Linked DNA regions of Sus scrofa. The protein of the gene in region 1 interacts with the protein of each later gene in a pairwise test. Links are inferred from orthologs where the notes say so. Each region holds a gene or a part of one and is shown in the gene's direction. Other genes may lie near its edges.

The links. The genes of interacting proteins can lie anywhere in the genome.
Region 2: the proteins of NME7 (region 1) and SHTN1 interact in binary tests that used the Homo sapiens proteins (3 or more experiments, as listed by UniProt). The two-hybrid records come from large-scale screens. The link is inferred for Sus scrofa from reciprocal best matches to the Homo sapiens genes NME7 and SHTN1.
Region 3: the proteins of NME7 (region 1) and TCHP interact in binary tests that used the Homo sapiens proteins (3 or more experiments, as listed by UniProt). The two-hybrid records come from large-scale screens. The link is inferred for Sus scrofa from reciprocal best matches to the Homo sapiens genes NME7 and TCHP.
Region 4: the proteins of NME7 (region 1) and SYCE1 interact in binary tests that used the Homo sapiens proteins (3 or more experiments, as listed by UniProt). The two-hybrid records come from large-scale screens. The link is inferred for Sus scrofa from reciprocal best matches to the Homo sapiens genes NME7 and SYCE1.
Region 5: the proteins of NME7 (region 1) and NEFL interact in binary tests that used the Homo sapiens proteins (3 or more experiments, as listed by UniProt). The two-hybrid records come from large-scale screens. The link is inferred for Sus scrofa from reciprocal best matches to the Homo sapiens genes NME7 and NEFL.

Annotation. Positions count from the first base shown.
Region 1 is NC_010446.5:81,691,907-81,695,406, forward strand, and holds part of NME7 (nucleoside diphosphate kinase 7), read left to right. Parts: intron 1-2,713; coding exon 2,714-2,821; intron 2,822-3,500. UniProt on the Homo sapiens protein: Possesses an intrinsic kinase activity. Displays 3'-5' exonuclease activity with a preference for single-stranded DNA. Does not seem to have nucleoside diphosphate kinase activity.
Region 2 is NC_010456.5:127,067,123-127,070,622, reverse strand, and holds part of SHTN1 (shootin-1), read left to right. Parts: intron 1-3,354; coding exon 3,355-3,500. UniProt on the Homo sapiens protein: Involved in the generation of internal asymmetric signals required for neuronal polarization and neurite outgrowth.
Region 3 is NC_010456.5:41,071,145-41,074,644, reverse strand, and holds part of TCHP (trichoplein keratin filament-binding protein), read left to right. Parts: coding exon 1-207; intron 208-770; coding exon 771-827; intron 828-2,400; coding exon 2,401-2,469; intron 2,470-3,133; coding exon 3,134-3,307; intron 3,308-3,500. UniProt on the Homo sapiens protein: Tumor suppressor which has the ability to inhibit cell growth and be pro-apoptotic during cell stress. Inhibits cell growth in bladder and prostate cancer cells by a down-regulation of HSPB1 by inhibiting its phosphorylation.
Region 4 is NC_010456.5:141,727,831-141,731,330, reverse strand, and holds part of SYCE1 (synaptonemal complex central element protein 1), read left to right. Parts: intron 1-246; coding exon 247-321; intron 322-960; coding exon 961-1,008; intron 1,009-1,239; coding exon 1,240-1,294; intron 1,295-1,986; coding exon 1,987-2,076; intron 2,077-2,324; coding exon 2,325-2,388; intron 2,389-3,120; coding exon 3,121-3,187; intron 3,188-3,272; coding exon 3,273-3,396; intron 3,397-3,468; coding exon 3,469-3,500. UniProt on the Homo sapiens protein: Major component of the transverse central element of synaptonemal complexes (SCS), formed between homologous chromosomes during meiotic prophase. Requires SYCP1 in order to be incorporated into the central element.
Region 5 is NC_010456.5:8,990,821-8,993,900, reverse strand, and holds the end of NEFL (neurofilament light polypeptide), read left to right. Parts: coding exon 1-23; intron 24-638; coding exon 639-781; 3' UTR 782-2,580; downstream 2,581-3,080. UniProt on the Homo sapiens protein: Neurofilaments usually contain three intermediate filament proteins: NEFL, NEFM, and NEFH which are involved in the maintenance of neuronal caliber.

The DNA of each region.
Region 1 (3,500 bases):
TCCTCTACCAGCTTCTTGAGCTTCTCAGTCTCTCATTCAGCTTGAGTCTCATGTAAAAGCAACGTGACGAATGCCATGCTAACCTCAGTGAGATCTAGTCTTTCTTAATCTAGATCATCAAATCTGGCTGCTTCAAATGCTCTCCAAGGTCATCAAACAGATTTTTAAAAATATCTCACTTCTCTAGTTGTTCTTGGATAGTAGCATTGATTTGCTATAAGCTACATTGTCAACTAGAATAGTAATTCCTCAGTTTATCATCTTTATATTATTTTCTGGATAACCAATCATGAGAAATTCTTCTGTCTGCCTCAGAATTAAAGGGTGATTGGCAGATTTTATGGTTAAGCTGCCTGGAAAACTGGAAGTGCCAGATTTCATTGGTTTTTCATTTGCTTCACTCTCTTTGCCCTTTTATTATTATTATTTTTGTCTTTTGTCTTTTTTAAGACCTCACCCGCGGCATATGGAAGTTCCCAGGCTAGGGATTTAATTGGAGCTGTTGTCACTGGCCTACACCAGAGCCACAGCAATGCCAGATCCTTAACCCACTGAGCAAGGCCAAGGATCGAACCTGCAACCTCATGGTTCCTGGTCGGATTTGTTTCCACTGTGCCACCATGGGAGCTCCTTTTACCTTCGCTTAGATGTCTCACCATTTCATCCATCTCATATATTATTTATTTTAGTGAAGGCAATATTTCAATGATATTTTTGAGCAAATTCCATAAAAAAGAGCAAAATAGTGCCATCTGCAGCAACATGGATAGAACTAGAGACTCTCATACTAAGTAAGTCAGAAAGACAAATACCACATATCACTTATATCTGGAATCTAATATATGGCACAAATGAATCTTTCCATAGAAGAGAAACAAACTCATGGACATAGAATACAGACTTGTGATTGCCAAGGGGAAGGGGGAGGGAGTGGGATGGACTGGGAGTTTGGGGTTAGTAGATGCAAACTATTATATTTAGAATGGATAAGTGATGGGTTCCTGCACAGGGAACTATATCTAGTCACTTGTGATGGGACATGATGGAGAATAATGTGAGAAACATTAAAAAAATTTTAATATAGATAGTAAAATTTTAATGAACTACTAATATTTAAATTTATTAAAAGGGGAGTACAATACTAAAATGCACAGTGAAACCTACATTTTGAAAACCTGTATTGAAAGAATAAAAATAAAAAAACTGTATTTATAAGGATCAATGAAAATAGTAAATGAAGAAAGGCTTGTCATAGTATATCTCATTTTTATTTTCTCTTGACTAATAAGCATTGTTTAAATGTGTCATTTTGGAAATTCCCAAACCAGTTATAATTAAAAAAACCCAAAAAACATTATATATAAAAAAAAGTGAAAAAATGTTTCTTTTTGGATGATTATGAGAAAAAAATAAAAGAGTGTCTTAAAAACTACCTACATTGTAGCTGATGAGTATATATCATAAATATAACTAGATATACTACTATTAGAATTTGTAAGTGTATTATTAACATGAAAGGAATCCATTCATATACCCTAACCAGAGAATCGAATTCTAAATCCAGAATTAGCAACAAAACACTTAGATTTTCTTCCTGTGTCTTCATTTGCTTATCTTGATGAGGGATCTTTGAGGGCTAAGATATTATTAATAACATAGGATGGGAAATCCTTCACTAGACGAGGGAAGAGGGCCAATCTTTGACTTATGTTTTCATTGTATGTACCTCACATATCTTCAGCTAGAGGTAGCAAAATGACCAAAGGTCCTCAGCTACTGTGCTCTGAAATCTACTGCTGCTTTTCTACCTAGCACATGCTCCCCCAGGGCTCACTCGGTGACTGAGAGGAGCAGAGTTACTAAAGCAGGCTTCTCCTCTGTGGAGTCAAGGAACTATCTGAGGGCTCTTGGCTTGAGCACTCCCCGATGGTCTTACTGAACCTTCCTTGGACTGTCTAGCAATCCAGGAGGATTTCACCCAGCCTTCCTTCTCTCTCTCCTTCCCTCAAGGTCAGATTCGTATGGTGGTCTGCCAGCTTCCCCTGGATCCCTCCCTATTTTCCCTTGCAGCAACTTTCCATACAGAATTTCTTTTACAGGAATAAAATTCTTGCATGTTTAATCCCATCTTGGCATCTTGTCTGCTTCTTGGAGGATCTAGACTAGCACATTCTCCCTCTATTTCTGTAAAAGATACTATCATGTGAAATTACTAAGGAGAGAAAAGATACTTACTATAATTGAATGACAACAATATTCTAATACGACTGGATTCTTAAAGTTAGGTCAGTTAACACTTCATGTAATTTAGGGGTAGCCTCTCAGAAATTTTTTTTTCCCATGCTAGTTTATTGATCATCTGCCTATGTGTAAACTTGCTTTCAGAAGGACTGAACTATCACAGTAGTCAGATCAGGAGTTGATGTTCTAAAAAACTGTCATTTTACTCAGGATGGTTGGATGGCCATGAAGTATTAAGCAGCTCATATGTCATCTTTGAGATATCTAAGGATATTTAAAAAGAAATTAGAAGGAATATTTCTGAGTGTTTTGATAGCTGGTAATATTGTTGAAATTCTATTCAGTATGACAAGAATTATTCAATATAATAAGTAGTAACAGATTTGTTGCAAATATTTACTGATTCTTTAAATTTGTATGACTTTGAGTCCTTATATTTTATATGTTCATGTTAAAATTCTTCTCTTTGCAGAATCACAGTGAAAGATTCGTTTTCATTGCAGAGTGGTATGATCCAAATGCTTCACTATTTCGACGTTATGAGCTTTTATTTTACCCAGGGGATGGATCTGTTGAAATGGTAAATGAACCTTTCTTCACTTAAAAGCGGGTAACAGGATGAAGGTGGGCTAGGGAGAGGAAAAGGATTGCCTTTTTTGTAGTTACTTTTAAAAATACATCCTTTTTATTTTGATATTGTAATTCCAATATAAGAAGATACTTTTGTACCTTTATTTTTAATAGAAATTATTATTTTTCTTTTTCTTTTTTTTTTTTTAGGGCCACACCCATGGCATATGGAGGTTTCCAGGCTAGGGGTCCAATCAGAGCTACAGCTGCCGGCCTACACCACAGCCTCAGCAACATGGGATCCGAGTCGCCTCTGCGACCTATGCCACAGCTCACAGCAAGGCCAGATCCTTAACCCGCTGAGCGAAGCCAGTGATCAAACCGGCAACCTCATGGTTATTAGTCGGATTCGTTTCTGCTGCACCACATTGGGAACTCTGAAGTTATTTTTTTAGTTAGAAAACTGAAGTGGGATTATTCATGTTTTGGACTAAGCAATAATCAGCAAGTGGCTATAGACAAAGATGATCATGATCATAAATATGTTACCGTTGTTGAGTGCTGTTCATTACTGTTATCTCTACGAAAAGCCAAATAGAAGAAGATTGAACTCAAAGAGTCCCACTTTATGTCCCTTCATTGACAACCCCTTTTGCAGGTGGATCTGTTTGGTAATTTGGATCTTGTAT
Region 2 (3,500 bases), on another chromosome or scaffold:
TCTCCACACCTCATTTTCCTCATTTGTAAAAGGACCAGCTGGACTGGATGATTGCCACCATCCCTTTTAGCCTTAACCCATTGGGGTTCCAAGTCAGTGGTCATTATCTTTAAGACACTAGTTACTCTCACTCTCAACACATAGATTCAGAGAAATTTCCCACTGTGCCAAGTTCAGTGATAATCAACAAAGGAGTTCTCAAATTGGAGCCTACAGGTGACTTAATAGATTCCTCTATTATCGAGAAGCTTACTTCAGGAAAGAACAGCAGTACTCTGGACTGAGATAATTCCAGGACAATTTCAGCCTTGGCAATACAAAGTTTCTGAGTTTTCAGTTCAATCAACACCTATTTGTTGCTGTTGTGGAGCCCTGAGAGCACTTCCTGGAAGTTTTCAGCCTCCAGCTGATGAAGAAAAGCTTTTTAGGATGTGTTCACCACCCCTTCACCTGCAGACACACATGGCCATGAAAACATCCATGGTAGTTCTACAAAAGCGATGAAGGTCAGTATGGGTTGATGGAAGTTGCTCACCTAGAATGAGATGGATCCTTTGCATGTGTAGAGCAGATTGGCTGGCTTACATACAGTGGGCTCAAGCCCAGGGTGGGAGAGCCAGACTGGGGCCTTGACCAGCAGAGTTTGTGTAGCTTTGACTAACAGCTTAGCTTGGCTGGAGCTTCATTTCCTAGAATTCCCTTGTCCATTTACTTGCAGGTTAGGGTTGGCCACAGGAAAAATTTGCATGAGATTTGGAAGATGGAAGTGACATAGTAGTCTTTAAAAAAAAAAAAAAAATTCTCTGAAGGTCTGTGTAGGGCAGGCCCTATTACAGTTTATGCACGTTGTCACCTAGTTAGCACATAGTTTCTCCGGCTCCCCGGCTCCCCCGATCTTCTCCACCTTCCCCAAATTCTAGGCCAGGTGCATGTGCAATTTCATGTGGAAGGGTTCCAGCTGACCCTGCAGCTCATCTTCACCATCAGGATTGGAGGTTGTGAAAGACAGATGCAGCTCTGGTTTGTCCTCAGCTTCTTGCCACTTTCCACCCATCTTCCTTTTCAGCTGTAAGAACCGTTGACTTCAGGCCCAGCATCATACATAGAGTCAGCAACCTCACATAAACTGTCCAACTAGCTCTCTCCTTGCCTCTAATAAATCCCTTAGGCCATTTGTGGTAGTTCTGGTTCTCAGACGCTGCCCTAATGGATTCAGTCTTTTAGGTGTTGCCTGAATCAGAGAAAGTTAAGGCAGGTAGCAGCAGAGAAACCATATCTCATACTAATTCCCAAAGCACAGTGACAGATATCTTGAGTAGTGGATCTTTGGCCAAGGTGAATGGACAGTGTCACGGTATTTTCTAATAACAAGGGTGTCGTCAAATGCAGGCAGAAATAAAGCAATCTGTCCTCACTACACTATAGCTTTCCTCTCAGGCTCCTGGTCATCTCTTTGCTTTTACCACCTCCAAAGAAGACAGTTTGTGGTAGTCACTTATCAATGATGATCAGGTCACAGAGTATAACTGGATAGCCCTAGGGAGTGGTTTTCAAGTATTTGGACAAATCTCATAGTACTTGTGATAAAACTGTCGTCACTGGGTTTGAGTTTTTGGTACCTGTGGCTGGATCATGCAGGCCACTTTGTCTCAATAGTTGAACACTGGTTCTGTTGCTTTTGTTGTATAAGAGACCTCTATACCTACTCATATCAAACCTTGGTTTCTGTGTATTCATTCTGAGCCTTTCAAACACAGTTAGTTCATTAGTTTACTCCATCTGTTTATTCCACAAATGGATCTGCCCTGGGTGCTGGTGTATAACTGTGAGCAAACCTAAACAGCCCATCTCGTGGACACATACATTTTATTTGAAGAGGTAGACGCTAAACCACTGATTGCCATTATTTAATTGTAACTGTGGTAAGTCCAACAAGGGAGAAGTATTAGGCGGTAAGAGAGTATCTAAGCAGCAGATCTAACCGAGGGGCCAGGGAATAGGAGAAATCAACTCCTGGCAAGGGCCTGGTAGAGCAGTGGACAGACCCTGGCTAACAGTTCACCAGTACATGTCCTGACATCCAGAGGTGGAGGTGGGACAGGGGTGTGCTGATCATGGTTGATATCTAGCATTTGCCAGGAAGACCAGATGAGTCTGAATAGCCCTTGCCCTGCCCACTACATACCCCTTAACCTCCAGGCATCAGGTCAGCAGTCCACAACCTTCAGATGGTAGCTCCTGACCAGTGACTTCTGAGAGGAACAGGTGCCCACAGCCTAATTTCCTGGCACATGGCAAGTGAGGAACATTTCAGGACATCTCTGTTTCTACAAGGAAGTTGTCACCCCTTCAGCTTGAGAAGCAGTAGCTTCTTAGATCAGAAGAGAAGAGAGGAAACCTTGATGGCAAAAGAAACTGCATTTGAAATTTAGTAAGAAATTTCTTGGAAGTTCCTGTTGTGGTTCAGCAAGTTACCAACCCAACTAGTATCCATGAGGATGCAAGTTTGATACCTGACCTTGCTCAGTGGGTTAAAGATCTAGCATGGCCATGAGCTGTGGTGTAGGTTACAGATCCTGCATGGCTATGGCGTAGGCCAGCAGCTGCAGCTCTGATTTGACCCCTAGTCTGGGAACTTCCTTATGCTGCAGGTGTAGCCCTAAAAAGCAAAAAAAAAAAAAAAAAAAAAAAAAAAATTCTCAAACATGATTCTTTGTAGAAAAAGTGTATGGTCACTTAGCATTTCAACTTATTCTCTGGATTCTCCTATCTGCCCTAGTTCCTTCCGTCATCCCTCCCTAGGTCTGACCAGAGTTACTCTTGCAAGTGTTGACAGCAGCTGGCACACCTCTCAGCTGTCCATCAGGGATGGGGGTGATTAATTTCCCTCCTTGATGCAGTCTCCTCAGAGCTAATCTGCAACCACATGGACTCCGGGACACAAGCAAGGGGTTAACTGGCTCCTTCCAGCTGCCTGGGGGTGGGACGGGAGTCTGGGGGCGGCAGGCATTGGGAGGTATGCACAGTGTCCCTGAGCTTTGTGCTTCTCTGAGAAGAGCATGCAATTAAGCAGGTAGGTGCATTTGGCTTTTAACACTTCCGCAAGTTAATTGCTCTGACTTTTTCTGCCATTCTTCTGGCCTTGTGCTCCTAATATGTAATCTAATAGCCTCTTCTTCTTCTTCTTCTTCTTCTTTTTTTTTTTTTAACGGCTGGCTCCTCAAAGACCACTTTTTGCATGTTGATTAGACTTAGAACATTTTGGGTTTTTTGCTCATCTGAATGGAGGAATATGAAAGACAAATATTTTCTCTCTCTGCTTTTAATTTTTTTGTTTAACTGTTCATCCCCTAGGCCTCCCAGTAGCACTGGATGCAGGAGACAATACATTGGCAGTGAAAAACAAGCTGAACCAGTTGTAGTTTTAGATCCTGTTTCCACATATGAACCCCAAACCAAAGACCAGGTTGCTGAAAAAGATCCAACTCAACACAAGGATG
Region 3 (3,500 bases), on another chromosome or scaffold:
CATGCCTACCAGCGGGAGAAGATGAAGGAGGAGGGGAGAAAGCGTCTGGAAGCCAGACGGCAGAGACTCAGACAGCTTCTGCTGGAGGAGCAGGACCTGCTAGTCAGAGAACTAGAGGAACTGAGGCTGAGCATGAACTTGAGGGAAAGGAGAATCCGGGAGCGGCATGGGAATCTGAAGTCGGCCCGAGAAGAGCAAAGGAAACTGGTAACTTTGAGAAACTCTTTAGGAGGCTTCAGAGCAGGAGTCACAGTGAGACCATGTGGGGTCACCTGATAAGAGCTCGTTCCAGAGCCAGCCAAGAGAAGTGCTTGCTCTGAGTTCTTCTTCATGTGTGTTTCCTACGAGACATCTCTATTCTCTTTGGCCCCTTAAACTGTTAGGTCTGAGTCCTTTTTCTTTATGCCAGTTTTGTGGTCCCACAAAGGGCTTGGACTGGTGTATTTTATCCTCCACAGTAGTCGTGTGTTGTGGTAAGCCCAATCTCTGTTTAGTTTGAAACAGATCTTTAGCATCTAGGACCCATCTGCAGCATCAGATTTGGGCCCCCTTTGGCCACCCTGTAAGAGTCACTTGTCAGGGCCCTGCAGTTCCAGGCAGTGTCTGGTTTCCAGCACTGTGGGCACAAGGCACGTGGGAGGTCTGCAGGGCGGTGCAGTGCTGGCGCCAGTAGGGCACTCTTACCTGAGTTGACTTCCACATGGGTTATCCGAAATGTGAATGGATTGGAAAAATGACATCAGGCCTCCCGCTTTGTATTTCCTTGACAGATTGCTGAACAACTTCTGTATGAACACTGGAAAAAGAACAACCCCCAACTTCGAGAGGTGAAAACTGAGGAGCCCCTTCCATTGATTTGCCTAAGTCAATGAAATCATGTTTCCTGTCTTGTTTTTTTTTTTGTTTGTTTGTTTTTGTTTTTTGTCTTTTGTCTTTTTAGGGCCGCACTTGTAGCATATGGAGGTTCCCTGGCTAGGGGCCAGTCGGAGCTGTAGCTGCTGGCCTGTGTCACAGCAATGCAGGATCCCAGCTTCGTTTGCGACCTACACCACAGCTCATGGCAATGCCAGATCCTTAACCCACTGAGCAAGGCCAGGGATCAAACCCAAAACCTCATGGTTCCTAGTCCGGTTCGTTTCCACTGCACCACGACAGGAGCTCCCCACCTTGTTTTTAAACTTGCGTTTTGTGCTGGAGTGAGACAAAACCCTCCAGCCACCTTGAGCTACAAGTGGCTGAGAGGCTGGGACGTCAGACAGGGAGGGTGAACCCCAAGAACTGAGTCTCATGCTGGGTAGGCAGACAGGGCCACCACAGATGGCCTTGTGTGTCCTTCCTCTGGGAGCGTTGGGGAGGGTCTGCATGATTTTAAATGGGTCCAGCTGCATTTTGGAGAACAGCAGCTTTGGCAGCACTGTTGAGGTGGGCCAGAAGGGGTGATATCAATTGAAGGATTGCTGCCACAGCCCAGGTGAGTGATGTGAAGGCCAGAACTGAGGTGGCAGGAGAAAGGGGGACAGAGGCACAGACCTCAGTGCAAGGAGAGGGAGGCGTTTAGGTTTGGGTGACAGCACTCAGCAGAGACTGGGCTAGAGAGAAACAATCCCATGATGAAGATTAGTTTATTTCAGCTTAGTTTGTGTGTATGTTTGGTGGTATTAACTTATAAAGCATAACTACATTTAAAAATTGCCAGTCACAGGTAATAGAATGTTCTGGAGTATTGTATGGTTAGCACTACGCCACAGAGGACTCCTCTCCCCGTGGCTTATAGATTAAAGCAGAACCTCCAAAGTCATGTACTCAAAGTTTATTCAAAACATTCAAGTTAGTTGCAAATGTTTCCATCTATAAGAAATAAATTTAAAACTTTTATAAACAATTTCTCAAAACAAGAGCTTTCAGACAGTGTTGTTTCCTGATTCAAAAGATTCTTTAAACCCAAATCTCTTATTAATAACCCTGAATTTGTTGCATCTCTTGCTTCAGAGCGTGCATGTTTTTACAGCTGCTGCTTTGCAGAGGGAGTGCTGGGGAGCCAGGCCAAGGGTTGAGCCTGCTCCTCACCCAGCTCCTGCTGCCCTGGGGCCTGGCAAGCTTTAGACCAACTGGGGTGGCCTTTGAGATTGAATTTCCATTTCATTGCCTACTGACCCGGTCCTGCTCAGCCCCAAGGGTACTGGGAAAAAAGTTTCTGCTACTTTGTTCCAGTTCTTGAGATGATTTACAAGTGCCTGGCCCTTTGGCTTTCTGATTCACTTGCATTCAACTGTATGTCAGGGTCACCGTGCAATTCCTTATAAAGACACCTGGCCATAACCAGAGCTGTGCTATGCTTGAATATCTCTCTGTCTGATGAACCAGTGGGGACGTTCATATTCTCCACATTCTCATCCTCAGATTGAACTGGACCTTCACAAGAAGCATGTGATAAACTCTTGGGAAATGCAGAAAGAGGAAAAAAAACAGGTATGGTATGTGGTGGGAGACTGTCTCCATGTCTTTGAATTTGTTTCTTGTTTTCAATGTTAATGATTCCAATCCAGGAATAGACTTTTCCTTGTTTACTTAACACATGTTAAAACTGAATATTTGTTGCTCTTACACAAACTAGACTCGTCTGTGGTCACTCCCAGAGGCAGAGTAAGACCAAGTGACCAGGACTGGCTGATGGTAGATGCAACATGCATCCTTGAGGGTTGTTTTTGTTGCTGGTGCCCTATTTTCATGTAGTTTACATCCTAAATTCTCAGACGTGGTTTACAGCAGCACCCCTGGGGATGAAAGTCCACTCTTCCATGGACCCACCGCTTTATCTTGGGGTTCGTTCTGGAAGGTGTTTTGTTGACGTGTGGAAAGGGAGGAACCCTGGCATCCTTGTGCCAGGCACCAAGCCAAAAGCCTCCCAGCTTCATCCCTGAGGACGGCACCACTCCCACGGTTCCCACAGTGAGAACCGAGCTCAGGAAGACACCCTTGCCTGGGCCACACAGCTAAGGGTATAGCCTCCTTGGGTGTAGATGTGCAGAATGAGGAGCAGGCCCTGAGGCCTGCTGATTGGTGGGTGGGGAGCTGGGTCTTTGCTGACTCTGTGCTGTAGACCCTGACCCCGGGTTCCTTTGGCTCTGTGCAGCAAGAAGCCGCTGAAGAGGAAAAGGAAAAACGATATGAAAATGAATACGAAAGGGCCCGACGGGAAGCGCTAGCACGGATGAAGGCTGAAGAGGAAAGGAGGCAGCTGGAGGGTAAACTGCAGGCGGAGGCGCTGCGCCAGCAGATGGAGGAGCTGAAGGTGAAGGAGATGGAGGTGAGGGTGAGCCCGGCTGCCAGAGCCTCCTCGCAGCTGCTTGCTGTTATGAAACAGACATTTAAAAAGCTGTGCTAAGCAGAGATTGTATCAGGGAGATGATTCTAAGAAGTGGAACAGTGCTGGGTCCTCCCTTCAGACATGCATTCCTGTTGCTGGCTCTTCAACACTCCTGGCTTGTGGGCCCAAATTA
Region 4 (3,500 bases), on another chromosome or scaffold:
TACAAAGTGTTTTGAAAGAGCAGAGCATTAAATGAGGCATGGGTTGGTCCATCTAAATACTAACTGCTATAGTCATGTTTATTAACCTGGCCCTGCTGCCACCTGAACCTAACAGGAAGGGCTTAGGCTCCTGGAAGCCCCATTTCCTGCTCTGTAAAGCCTGAGCCCCTTTAGGTTTACTTGAAGACAAATGTGAAATATTTGCAAGGAAAAGACACTTAAATAATGTTTTACTCTTTGGCACAGCAAAAAAGAAAGCCAGTGAAGAGCTGGGAGAGGCCCGGACTGTCTGGGAGACCCTGCAAAAGGAACTTGACTCATGTAAGCTTGTCACCGGTCACCCAGAGGTCCACACAATGTCATGCAGCTTTGAACACAGTATTCCAGATGTCTGCGTTCTTGGCTGTGACCAAGGGCTCCTGCCCTTCAACCTCAGATCCTTCTAATCCCTGCTCCTCCCACTGTGTTGGTGGGAAGGTTCCTGAAAAACTCTGTAAGCATGCCTCTACCTCAGGGCCTTGGCTAGACAGTCCCCCCAGATACCACCACTTCCTGTTGCCTCACATCATCCTCAGCTCTCAGCTCAAGTATGCTCAGAGAGGCCTTCCCCAGTTACCTAAAAACAGCACCCTGTCCCTGCCTGGGCACGTGCCACTTACTGCTTGATGTTATTTCTTCACAGTCCTTGTCCCACTTCATGTGATGTGTTTCTTATTTTTTCTCTCCCTTTCATGTAAACACACTGGCATCCCACAAAGTCATCACAGACACCCTTTATCACCTTCAGGACTCTAGTGCTTATAGCGAGTGTCAGCACAAGAGAGGAGAGGGTCACCTTGGGGGTCCACATTTGGGGTCAGGGGTAAGCCTGTATGAAACTGCCCATGTGACCGTGCGCAGGCCTGGTCCCCAGGGGTGCAGTGAATGGTCCCTGATGCCTGAACATGTTACTTTTTCCAGTGAGTGGAGAGAAAGTACGCCTGAAAGAGATCTTGAGCAAAAAGCAAGGTAATTATAGCTGTTCTGTCTTCATGTTTTTGCCTTTTCCAACCTGTATAAGCCTACTCTCTATAGTGATAGAAGCCTTTTGAAACCTGAATCACCTTGCACCCCTCCTGTGGATTCCACCACAGTAAATGACAGTCCCATACGGTGTCCACATGACCTGGCCCTTTTACCTCTGCCCAAACCTCATGCCTTGATGAGCTCTCATGGCCCCCTCACTTCCTCTCTCTGCAGAGACCCTGAGGATCCTCCGGCTCCACTGCCAGGAGAAGGAAAGTGAGGCACAGAGGTAAGAGCCTCTACCTGGGCCCTGCTCCAAGCTACCCCTTCATTCTGGTAGAGAAAGTAAGTGAAATCAGTTTTAGACCCACAGCTCTCATCTTCTCCCTCTGTAAAATGGAGAGGCCAAATAAGGGTCTTTCCATCTTGGCTGCAACAGCGGGCAGTAGTGTTAAGAATACCCTCTCACTCACCCACCTGGAATAAGCACTCATTTGCTAGAATGTTAAATTCCTTCAGCTGGTTTTTATTCTGTACCTTTGATACTTTCCACAGCAGCTGTTTGTTCGCTTATCTGTCCCTTCATTTAAGGCATCAAGCCAGCCATCTCTCCATCCATTATCCTTCCATCCACCCAACTATTTGTGCATTGATCTCTACCTCCTCAATGCTTATTTTGCTCATCTTGTGACCAGAAGCCCCAAGCCCCTAGCATACCAAGATTGAAACTGTTAGAGAAATTCACATGAGGTTAACCTGTGTGATTGTGCATTTGACCAGACCCACACTGATCTCTCTAATCTTCACAATGACATTTCCTGGGGGCATGTGCTCATGTCCCCCTACAAAGTTACAGAGATGGACCTCAATCTAGAAGGCTAGAACAGACCTCAAGAGAAGGATGCAGAAGCCCTACCCCAACCCCTGAATGTAGGGAGACATTCAGAGAACATGATGAAGGGCTGCGCTGACTCTTGCCAGGAAGCAAACCATGCTGCAGGAATGCAAGGAGCGAATTTCTGCCCTGAATTCCCAGATCGAGGAAGAAAAGAACAAACAGAGGAAGCTGAGGTAAAGCCCATCACCTGAAGCCTGATGGGCTGGGCTGGGTTGTCAGTGGGAGTTATACCAGCAATGGAGGTTAGAAGAGTAGCTGGCCGAGCTGAAGCTTGGAGGGTCAAAGTGGAGAAGGTGTTCCCAGCAGCATGAAGAGCATGGGTGAGCTCCCCCTGGTCTGTGCATGAAGGCCCTAGCTGTGCAAGGTTGGGGAGGGGTGTCTCTCAGCCCACGGCCCCTCATCCTATGTGCTTGATCTCCAGGTTGGATTTTGAAGAACAGCTGGAGGATCTGATGGGCCAGCATAAGGACCTCTGGGAATTCCATGTGAGTCACTCAGCCACTCCTTCAACCTTCCGCATCTCCCCCGGCAGCACCAGGCCCCAAACCAATGGAATTCTCCAGGCCTCCTTCCTCTGTACTTCCACACCTAGTTCCGTACAAACCCTGGCAGCTGTGCAGCACCCTCATTGCCACCTGCTGCTGACCTCTTCACCAGACCTGCCCACCCATCCCTGATGCTCTCCAAGTATCCTTAAGTGGTCATGAGGAACCCCGATGAACCAAGGAGGGCTCACCCAAAAATGAGATCCATATATGTATTTGGGGCCATCACAGACACAGGGCAGGCATCTGGGGATCCCAAACAAGAAAATAGGCAGAGAAAATGACTGTCCAGATGGAAGAGCTCAGTGAGGTCACATGATGGTAAGAGGAGGAGCTGCATTACTGGGTGGTAACTTACTCTCAAAAGAAAAACCTTGATTTGTACTGTTTGCAGGATCTCCTGTAGTAAATACTCATTCTAGGGCCGATTTCAAACCTTGTTTAATTCCTGAATACTCATGACCTCATGAGCCTCTCCAGCATAGCACAGCACCCTAGGTATCTGGAGTGAAAGCTCTAGGCAGAGGGAATGGCCAGTGCAAAGGCCCTGAAGCTGGACTGTGCCTGGCATACATGGAGGGCCAAAGTAGTAGGAAGTAAGGAAGACCAGATCTTGGTCAGCTTCACTGCAGCACATGGGAGATGTGGACAGGCCATCTTTCTACCCCTCAGAAGCCAGAGCAACTGGCCCTGGAAATTGATGCCCTGGACAGCAACAAGGAACAGTTGCTCAAGGAAGGTGAGGCCTGGAGAAGGGATGCCCAGATCAACTCTGCGCTGCCCTGCCCTGCCCTACCCTGCCCATCTGTTCCTTCCTGCTACAGAGAAGTTGGTGGAGGCAAAGCTGGAGGATGTGAAGCATCGTCTGTGTTCCCAGTTTGGAGCCAAGGGCTGCTCAACCATCACTGAGGGGCTCTTCCTCCGCAGCCAGGAGGCAGCAGCTGTGGTGTAAGGCAGAGATGGAGAGGGTGGGATGGGGTAGAGAAAGGGAGCTGCTAGCACTGATGGCCCCATCTTCAGGCATCTGTTTGAAGAGGAGAACAGGAAGGCCC
Region 5 (3,080 bases), on another chromosome or scaffold:
TGCCCAAGAAGAAGAAGAAGAAGGTAGGATTAAAACAAAACAAAAACCACCCTACACCTTCAGGTGCAGCCTGAAAATGTGTCAGGAGGTGGGTAAGATGAATGGAGCCTTACTCAAGGAAGTTGTATTCATTTGTGAGTTCAGAATCTTAAATAATACATTTATCTATTTAGTCCACAAATCTTTAGTAGGTACCTCATTTCTCAACTTGGCTGTTCTCCCAGAGACACACATCTCTGATTAGCTTGGTACTTTTTTTGAAAATAACATTAAAAAATTCTCTTCCTGCTGTCCTTTTATTCCTAATTAAACATTTTAAAATCTATTCATTTAACTCAGCAGTTTGGTGTCCTAAAGAACAAAAATGAATACCAAACACAGAATAAAAGAAAAACCAAGGTCCTGGAGAAGAGCAGAGCTCCCAGTACATAGACTTAATCTCATGCGGTTTAAATAGGTGTTTGGTGTCAAATTATTCTCAGCAAGCATTGTAGGTTGCATGCATTTTGGGACCGAGGAGCGGAGAGGTTTGGGGGAAGGATTCTGACATTTATGTTTCTCCACCAAACCTTAGCTGAAATATTTTGATTGGACTCACCCTGCATTCGGAGTTTGTACATTTTCTTTTTATGTTAAAGCTGCCAAGGAAGAATCTGAGGAAGCAAAGGAGGAAGAAGAAGGAGGTGAAGGTGAAGAAGGAGAAGAAACCAAAGAAGCCGAGGAGGAGGAGAAAAAAGATGAAGGTGCTGGGGAGGAGCAAGCAACTAAGAAGAAAGATTGAGCCCCACTTCCCTTATTTATTCCAGGAATAATTCTCCCGAAATCAGGTCAACCCCATCACCAACCAACCAGTTGAGTTGCAGATACTATATGAATTAAGAAGTCAATATATGTATAATTCTGAGATGACTTAGGTTGGACATTAAATGTTGTGCTATGACTTTTCTCCTTATGCAGAGTATCTGTTTGCTTGCAGAGTGGCTTCCTGGCTTGCTGCCAGCCTGTGCATGGTCCACGCTTATGAGTTCAGGATCTATGGCAATGTGAATAATTCAGATGTTTACAATTTAAAAAAATGAATAAATGAATTCACTAATGTTAATGTTAAACTTCATAGAAAAAATAGTCCTTTGAAACTTTGGTGGTTAGAAATTAAAGACCTCAAATTATGTGCAATAAATAGTAAATAAAGTTACACTGAATGACATTCCTTGCTGTGGCTGTTGACTTAATTCCAATGTCTTAAAGAGGGCACCAATGTAAGACACACAGAAATGGACTCTTCCCCTCCAAATTTTTTAAATCAAAATTTTAGTAATTATAATGCATTTCCCCCCATTAATTGGTTCTTCTGAGGATACAATTAGGTCATGACTATTCATGAAATCTTCCCTCAAAAATTTTACTAATAATAAATTCAAGTAAAAGGGAAACCCACTTTTCTTTTATAAATAGCAATATGCTTTGCCCTGTAATTTTCTATATAATGTTGGGAATGGCTTTCTTGGAGGCAATTCTGAAGTTATGTGATAAATATACCCTTTATGGTAAACAGGTAACTTTAACACTAGTATGTAATAATAAATGCAAGATGGATAGAATATGAATCCAAGCCATCCATCACTATAACTACATTTTAAAAATATACTCAAAATATCAGGAGCAGATGTTGAAACCCAAGCAAGTTACAGAATCAGAAGGAATGATTTTTGGTCAATGTATAATTTTGGATGGAGTAAGAAGAGCAAAGTTGATTTGCCATTGCAAATGTTGCCTGCAATCCTGAGCTCATTTTTGAGTGTGTTGTTAGCTTAATTCTTTCGCCTCAAGTAAATAGCCTTTAATGCCACCTATTTTAAATGTTTTAAGAACTATAAATACAGATAACGAAATTGTCACCCATCACTAAAGGGGGGATTATATACTTGTGTGTTACATTGCCATTGCTCCGCATGTCTTATATTGGAAAATATTTGGATTTCAATGATAACTCTAACTGGTTGGATATTGCATCAAATACATACCCCATCCATCCTTCCTGTTCACTGTTAAGTTATGAAAGCTCTTGCACTTGCCTTTGATGTGGAATATCGATGAAATTACTGATTATTTGCTGTTTTGCTTTTGTTCTTACTCCATTGCTTTGTCAGCTTATTTTCACTCAATGTTTGTTGTTTAGGCAGTTTTTAAAGGTCATGAATTTAATCTGAAAGCCAGGTGGTCTCCATTTAAAGTTATCTGATCCCATCACAGTATGCATTTCTAGTTAAATATATGTCACTAAAGCAAAGAGGTGAAATATTTCTTCATCTACCATGATGCTATGGATTTGAACTCTGAGGATTCTTGGCACACTGGCTTCTGCAAAGACTAGGAGTTGCCTCAGAAACCAAGCTTTTCATAATTATATTCATTAAACATGGGATGCTGCTCGTGGTAAATGTCAGACAGATGCAAATGACATGTAAAAATGTAACTTTAGCCGAATGGAAATGACTGGTTGATTTGAGAATTACTTGAAGTAAGAGCACTGTATCATACTCTATCCTGTGTGCCATAATAAAATACTGAAAAACCAAACGAAATGGATTTGAAGTCTTTAAAAAAAACTTCCTCAAATGTGGACCTCGGCCAGTGTCCCTCTCCCTTCTGCTCCTCCCAAACTGTAGTTCTTTCTCTGTATTCCCTTCCCAAGTTAATGGCACCACTCCCCAGCCATCTAATTCTGAAAACCAGAGACTGGGTGTGACATCATACCTCTCATTTCCTCTCCCTGATTCCTTTGGCCTAATCTATTACCAAGTCAGTTAATTTTACTGCCTGCATATCTTTTTTTTTTTGTCTTTTTTTGTCTTTTTAGACACACACCTGGGACATATGGAGGTTCCCAGGCAGGGGTCGAATCAGAGCTGTTGCTGCCGGCCTACGCCAGAGCCACAGCAACGCCAGATCCGAGTCTGAGACCTACACCACAATTCACGGCAACACCGGATCCTTAACCCACTGAATGAGGCCAGGGATCGAACCTGCAACCTCATGATTCCTAGTTGGATTTGTTTCCACTGTGCCATGGCCGGAAC